Linked DNA regions of Lepisosteus oculatus. The protein of the gene in region 1 purifies or fractionates together with the protein of each later gene. This does not show direct contact. Links are inferred from orthologs where the notes say so. Each region holds a gene or a part of one and is shown on either strand. Other genes may lie near its edges. The genes, in order: ecd and znhit2.

The links.
Region 2: the proteins of ecd (region 1) and znhit2 purify together in Homo sapiens (affinity purification with mass spectrometry; 3 studies listed by BioGRID and IntAct, counting the BioPlex papers as one, with this or other methods). This does not show direct contact. The link is inferred for Lepisosteus oculatus from reciprocal best matches to the Homo sapiens genes ECD and ZNHIT2.

Annotation. Positions count from the first base shown.
Region 1 is NC_090699.1:28,766,631-28,770,547, reverse strand, and holds the start of ecd (protein ecdysoneless homolog), read right to left. Parts: upstream 2,847-3,917; 5' UTR 2,679-2,846; intron 1,955-2,678; exon of another isoform or gene 1,952-1,954; 5' UTR 1,937-1,951; coding exon 1,732-1,936; intron 1,540-1,731; coding exon 1,422-1,539; intron 949-1,421; coding exon 861-948; intron 369-860; coding exon 190-368; intron 1-189. Other genes in the region: protein FAM149B1, read left to right, coding at 3,609-3,655. UniProt on the Homo sapiens protein: Regulator of p53/TP53 stability and function. Inhibits MDM2-mediated degradation of p53/TP53 possibly by cooperating in part with TXNIP. May be involved transcriptional regulation. In vitro has intrinsic transactivation activity enhanced by EP300.
Region 2 is NC_090713.1:21,258,867-21,262,783, reverse strand, and holds the start of znhit2 (zinc finger HIT domain-containing protein 2), read left to right. Parts: upstream 1-1,369; 5' UTR 1,370-1,802; intron 1,803-3,272; 5' UTR 3,273-3,310; coding exon 3,311-3,917. Other genes in the region: pre-mRNA-processing factor 39, read right to left, coding at 1,132-1,186. UniProt on the Homo sapiens protein: May act as a bridging factor mediating the interaction between the R2TP/Prefoldin-like (R2TP/PFDL) complex and U5 small nuclear ribonucleoprotein (U5 snRNP).

The DNA.
Region 1 (3,917 bases):
CTTAAATTAGAATCTTATTTAATCAATAGTAATAATAACCCTTGTTATTAAGATACTGATTGATATTAATATAATGATTGATTATATTATTATAATAATATTGTTATTATTATGAATGAAATGAAAAAGGTAATAAGGTATTGGAAATGTTACAGCACAAAGGACCATCAGGTCCTCTACCCTCATTACCCCTTCACTCTCTTGGCCACAGCAGTGCGGGTGGGTTGGGCAGCCAGACAGGTCTCAGGCTGTGAGGATAGGAGGGCCAGCGCCTGGGGCAAGGTGGGTGTGGCATCAGGGGGCCACCCCTCCTCCCCAGGGTCCTGGGGTGCAGGGATGATGTGCAGCTCACCCCGGTACAGAAATACCTGCATAGACAGAGTGCACAAGGCATCAGTCTGCTCAGCCTCTCCTGATAAATAAATAAAAGGTAGGATGGGAAAAAGTAAACCATGAACCATCCTGTCCTTTTAACAGAAAGGCATTTTTTGTGTTTTGAATGTTTAATTTACTTTATAAAATGTGAGAGGACAGTAGGATGAGACCATGATGACAGCACTTGACTGGACTACATTCCCCAGAAAGCTGTGGGGATTGACCAGCCATCCTCTGTCACCTGACAAATAAGTTTAAGACAGTTTACAAATCTGGAAACTGAAGCTTTAAGGGTCTGGAGACAAAAAAGGGTGTTTAAGACAGACTTTGAAGTACAAACTGTTCTGTGATTTTCTGTGATTTGATGCACTATAAAACTTTTAACACTTATGCAAAGTTAACATACATTTTTACTGAGTCTGTCAAATGTTACAATGCTTTCCCTGTTGCAAAGAACCTGACTGCCAAAAGGGACAAGTTCTCACTCTGTTTTCACTGCTCTCTGGATTCAGCCATCGGGGAAGGTGCTCAGCTGCTTCTATCAGCAAGAATTCTCCGTCATTGTCCTCAATCCTGCAAACCAACACAATCACACAATGGCAACAGGGACTTCCCTATAGAGACAGGGAAGGAGGAATATCTTAATTTCCTTCAACCTAACATAAGTATTAGTTACTTGTATTTATACAGTATTTTTCGTTTTGAAGGATTCCAAAGTCCTTTGTAGATGATGAAGTACTTCTTCCTTCCACAGTGCATCATCCTTTTAGGAGACACTCATAAACAGTCATTTCATACAAAGATAAGGCAAAGAAGCCAGGAAATAAAGTAGAGAGACTGAGAAAGAAAAGGGCTAAAATGGCATTTTTCCCAAAACTCAGTGCGCCCCTACTCTTATGAATAGCATCCTGGAATCTTTAATGCCCATAAGCAGGCTGGACCCTCAGGAAATACATCTCTGGAAAGATGGAAAACTTGAAACAAAAAAAAAAGATTGAAAACTAATATCAGATAACCTCAGCTCCAACATGGCTGTACAACCTTACCTGGCAGCCAGGTGAGGGAAGGTTCGGGTGATCTCCTGTATAAGATACACAATGAACCATTCATCTTCCACATTGTCCCCAAATTGTGTGGAACCCCCAATGTGAGCAGGAACACCAGCTGCAAGGCAGAATGATACATGTTTAATATGATATGATATGCTTAATAAAACAGCCAAAATGAAATGTATAGGTAATGCAGTTTTTATTATATTTACAGTAACATTTCACGTGAGAGAGCTGAACTGCATGAAAACAGAATACAATACCATACATATTCGATTGCCTACCACAATGATGTTCATTTGCTGACCTTTTTCGGGAACATATTTGATGTTAAAAGGTTGGTTTTGCCAGATGTACTGCACGAGCAGAGGCGCAAACTGCACCAGAATCCTCTCCACATCCTGCTGCAGAAGCTGCTGAGCGGCTTGAGGATCACAAGCATTGGGCTGGACCAGAAACAGGCGGTACTGCACCATGTCCTCGGCAACAGGGGGTCTTTTCAGCACATCCATTGTGCCCTTGTATGTCTGCTGTCCACACAGGAAGACAACACCAGACTGAAATAATACTCTCATCACGCTCATTTTAGATAGTGTGCACCCGAAGCTCTTTGACATATTTCATGAAAACCAAGATTATAAATGTAAAAAATCTTTTAAGAGGAATTAAACTCCGTAGTGTATGTATACAGCTGTTGTACTGTTTCATTTGTATTACATATTGAGAGGATGTTCTTCCTTAAACAACTGTAGCATCAAGCTAGCATTTATCGACAGTACTGATGGAGACCCAGCAGAAACGTGAACATATTAAATCAAATACATAAAAGAAGGTTTCGAAACATGGCTCAAACAACGATTCGATTATGGGTTCCTTGAGGTAAGAAAAATATAACCAGAATAACTCAAGAAAGACATTATTTCTGATGACTGAAACTATGCAACCACGTTTTCACTATTTCAGAAAATATCTATTTTTCAAAAAAGTTTTCATCCATTTTCAGCAAGCAGTTAAGATTAACATCCTCTTGTACGATGCACACATTTTTACTTTAAATCAAGGCAAATAGATTAATGGAAAGAAGCTAAAAGTTTTAATTAGAGCTACTCACTGAATAATACATTAAGCTACAAAAGTAGCTTTCATCATATGATTCAAAATATTAATATAACGCCATATCAGTATTGAAAAGTAAAAGCATGCAGTACTCTGACGATCATTGAAAAGGCCACTGTATAAAATAAACATTCTTACTCTTTGTCTCCAGGGGGTATACCTTTCAAAATAATTACAGACAGGAACAAATTAACCTATATGTACTCCACACGTTTAAAAATTGTATACAGGCAATTCAAGAAAGTACACTGTCAGCCTTGACGCACGCATGACGACACAGGTCATTCCTTTAGTTTCTTGTTCCCGGAAAAGCACGGTCATAATGACCCGACTGGGAAACAAGCATTTTTGAAACAATAGTTCCAACTGTATTAATTTTCTCTGATAGACAGTTAGTTATTATAGAATTAAGAGTTTAGCTAATATATTTATTCTACTCAGTTCCAGTATATGGGCGCATTGCCCTCTTTAAAACAGATGCATTTAAGATAAATACTACATTTCCCAGAGAGCATTGTAGCCCCTCCTATGTGGCAGTCGGGAACTGAAGTCCTTTGCTGATTCGCCGAGTTCGTAAATCGCAGACATTGTTGGGAAGCAAAAACTACTTTTCCCAGAAGGCATGACGATAGAGGGGTAAGATGGGTATCCATGACAGCCTAGTTGTTGTTGTTAGATGGTGCTAAACTAGTTTTGGGTTGAAAACATTAAAACATTTTAAGAGGGTGGTATGGTCAACCGTCCATCTTCCAGAAAAATACAATTCACAGCTAATTAGAACTTTTGTATTTCTGAATATGTCGTTTTTGAAAAAAAAACGTAGACATTTCTGTCATTAGGTGACTTAATTCCTCTGCTATATTCACCCCGTTCTAGACGTATCAGTATAAAATTGGCCATATTCAAGTAAACAGACATCCTACAGGACTGAGGACTTGAGTAGTGGAGCTCACGGAAAGTGAGAACGATGGTACACCCCCAGCGAAAGAGGCAACGGGGACGGGAATCAGAGGATAGCTTAACGGAGGACCTGTCGGAGAGGGATATGGGGAAATTGTGAACAAGAAAATGATTTCGAGATACAGCAGACGACCTGTGTCACACAGCCTGGAGATGTGAGTATTCTGTAACTGTGCCCTTTGTACGATAACTGACATCGCTGTTTTAAATGTCTTCTCGGAGTCAGTCCCTCTCGTCACAGCGAGAAAATCGCAACTGAAGGGGAATAAAATGTACTTTGTAGAGTTAAATCCATAGGTTTGCCTATTCCATTGTTTCAGAGAGACGTGAAGGAGGATTGTAATATAATATTTGACGGAACTGATTTGCTTCATTGGTAATGCTATTGCTTGAATATTTGGATAATAATAGTTCAAA
Region 2 (3,917 bases), on another chromosome or scaffold:
GTATACATGGGTTTCCTCCCACAGCAGAGACAGGCTGGTGGGTTAATTGGCTTCTGGGAAAACTGGCCCTGGTGTGTGTGTGTGTGTGTGTGTGTCCTGTGATGGACTGGCGTCCCATCCAGGGTGTACCCTGCCTTGCGCCCGTTGCTTGCTGGGATAGACTCCCGCTCCCCCCGTGACCCGTAACCAGTAAGCGGGTTAGAAAATGGATGACAAATCGATTACTAGATCGACGCTAACTAAAACAGAAGCAAGAGGTATTCTCCAAAATTTCCACTGGCTGTTTTCCTCGTTACACATTCATACAGCTGGAGCTCGGAGGGCAAGAGGGCACCTTTGGGGCTGCTTTACAGCACCAATACCCCCTCCCAGCCTTCACACAGGATTCGAACCCGTGACCTCTCCAATCAGTGAGTCCTGGGCTCCAAACACATAACTACCTCTTAGACCGGACACTGCGCGGTCACCCTCTTCCGAGTAAAATTGTTCAAAAAAATAATCCCTCTGATAGCTTCACCGACTCAAGCGGATTAATCATACACTTCACAGGTGGTGCAAAACTTCTACAATTTCCGTTTTCAAACATCGGCGGCGTTCTGGTTAGGGAGATCCCGGGGAACGTGTTTGTACAAAGGCTGGCACAGCTCGGACGAGATGCAGGTTCAAGAGTTTTAACAGTAAACGATCGATGAGGTTTTCTTTTCTGGTCGGGCAAGGTTCCCGTACAAACAGCGCCACCACCTCCTTCGGAGTGACTTTTTCAGAACACAGTTTTGTTTTCAGGTTAACGCTGAATGAAATATTTTCGGCTCAGAAGTAAAACACTACCACCTCCGGGAGGAAACACAGAGAGCAACACACAGGTGGTGCCCTGGCCGTCCTGTAAATCCACTGCTGAGTGACTGTTAAATCAGAACAGGCCGGTCGGGTTCCGTAGAGATCCGCTAAACCTCAATCACAGCCGCTGGGCTGTGGACGGTACCGGTCACCCTGTAACTCAGTAACCCGGAGCAAGACGACTTTTAAAAGCCCCAAGATTCTGTCTTGTTCGGGAAAGCTCATTTTGAGGCACGACCGCACGCAACCCCTTTACTGCACCGGTTCGGAGGCGGCCTGCTGTCCAGCACTGACCCGGTTCGGCGGTTAACTCGCCGTTCGCGCTCGGATCCAGATTCTCCGCCGCCATCTTGGAAGAGACGAGAATACGGCACGTCTCTGCCGGTGACGTCACTGCCCTGGATCGCCATGGCAACCACCGAGTTTTAGCTAAATTAAAAATGTTTTTTTTTTAAATTATGACTCCAATTCTTTTTAGAGAATGAAATGACTGTTCATCAGAGAGGCGGATGTTCTCTACGTTATGTAAGTGTCCACAAACTCCTTGCGGGATTGTGTAAACTTACAAGCAACAGATTCCAAACAAGTCGCCCTTTAAACTCGTACAGAACGAAGCTTTTGTTTGTAAAAGATATCCGAGTAAAGTAGTCGAGTGTGTATTTCGAGACGGCGGCTGTATTTACAGACGTGGATGAGAACAGTTTTGCAGGCGCCTTGCGACAACGCACGACAGTGGGGCTTGCTTTACAGCACCCACGCGGGGCGAGTGTGGGAGTTTGGAAGAAGAGATGGCGTCTAGAAACAGTGTATACTTGTTGTAAAAAAAAAAAGGGTACAGATTTTATTGATAGGAATCGGGATAAGCCATTCAGACACCGGTTTGGCAGTCAGGTCATTCCCAGGCGAAAAGTGAGACACGAACCGGGACGACTGTCCGACGTTATCGCGACACTTGGCGTATTCATGTGAGTATGAGTTACTAAGCGTTTTTTGTTTATGAGTTTCGCGGATAAAAGTGGCATTTTGTTGTTTGGCTTTAAATAAATGCATCACTTTGAATTTGTAATACCGAGTTTCCGAGTTTCTTTTGCAGTTTTTAATTCGAAACGTTTCATACGGCCGTGTAAATACCGTTTTGTACTACATAGTCGAGCATATTTTCTTGGTTTGTAGGATCAGCCTGGTCTAGGTCCTCTTATGGTAAGAAACTACGCTGCCTGCTTAGGTCAGCTAATTAGACCGAATTCTGTTTTGGTCATCTGCTACTTGACAGCGAGGTTATGTGAAATCGGCTACGCCCCTGCTGCAGCATGTATTGTAATCCGAAGACCAACGTTACTTGTTGAATCGATCACAGCCAAACAAGTGTTCACAATCTACACGAGCTGGGTGCTGGGTATTAATACTAATAATTACGGTTATAGAGTACTTTTCTGGTGACTCCATTCAAAGCATTTTAGAGGTAGTGGGGACTCCCCTCCAGCCCCACCTGGATGAGGCGCCAGTCCGCTCCCCACACCCCAGCTCTCAGTGGGGAGGAGAGCAGAGTGATGGAGCCAGTTCAGAGAGGGGGGTTATTAGGAGGCCATGATGGGTAAAGGCCAGGGGGAAATTGGGCCAGGACACCAGGGTAACACCCCTACTCTTCTCGAGAAACGCCCTGGGATTTTTAATGACCACAGAGAGTCAGGACCTCGGTTTGACGTCTCATCTGAAGGACGGAGCCTGTTTACAGTCTAGTGTCCCCCGTCACTATACTGGGGCATCAGGACCCACACAGACCGCAGGGTGAGCGCCCCCTACTGGCCCCACTAACACCTCTTCCAGCAGCAGCCTCAGCTCTCCCAGGAGTCTCCCCTCCAGGTACTGGCCAGGCTCACACTGCTGGGCTCCAGTGTGCTGCCCGATGTGAGCTGTATAGTGACATAGCCGCTGTCTGTATTTATGCCAGCCGGTCTCTCTTAGTTGAAATGGGGCTCTCCAGGAGCTGTATTAGAGGAACACACTCAACGGGGTAGCAGTACGGTAACACAGTGCTTTTTATTTACAGTGAGGGGGTAAAAAAAAACCAAAATCGAGCTCTTCTCTGACTTAAACTTAAACTGACTGAACTGCTTATTGGCTTGAAAGCAGACAAGCTTCCTCTTAACTTACAGTGCCCGCGGGCCAGTCAGCCAGGGGCAGAGCACAGCGGAAACTCGTCTCTCCCGTCTCGGCAGCAGATGCTGACCATCCCCGAATCTCTCCCCCCTCTTCCTGGTTTTGACATCGTCGCCGACCAATCGTCTTCCGCCTGCTGGTCAGGTGACCCCCACCCCACAGCCTTCTGGGAAATGTAGTTCCAGCACGACCCCTCCGTCTGTATGATGTGAATGCCAGTGTGCTCCTTCCGGTTAATTTAACTCCGGGGCCTGACTGTTCTATCCTGTCTTCAGGCGGGACTAGGGATCGGGAATCCCCGTTCCTCGGCAGCATGAACGTCCTGCGGGTGAGAAGGCTGCCGGCTTGCGTGACCGGACTCCTCTCGGCGCAGGGGGGCGGCTGGACCGAGCAGGAGGCGTGGGCCGAGACCCCCACGGAGCCGGCGGCCGTGGGCACGGGGGACATCGGCGGTGTTGCGGTGCCGGGGAGGGCGGGGGCGGAGCCCGGCGAGCCCCTGCTGACGCCGGCGAGGCCGTGCGCGCTGTGCCTGCAGAGCCCGGCTCGCTACACCTGCCCGCGCTGCCAGGCGCCCTACTGCGGCCTGGGCTGCTACCGCGGGCCGCGCCACGCCCGCTGCTCCGAGGACTTCTACAGGCAGGCCGTCCTGGGCGAGCTGCGCGCCGCCGGCCGGGCCGGGGAGGAGGGCCGACGGCGGATGCAGGAGATCCTGGTCAGGCTGAGGGAGGAGGAGGAGGAGGAGGAGGAAGAGCTGGCCGAGAGGCTCGCCGGCCTGGATCTGGACGCCCTGTCCGAGGAGGAGCTGTGGGGGCTGCTGCCCCCCCGGGACAGGCGCAGGTTCGAGCAGCTGCTGGAGGGGGGGGCCATCGGGGCTCTGGTGGAGGAGTGGACCCCCTGGTGGGAGAGGCACCAGCCGGGGG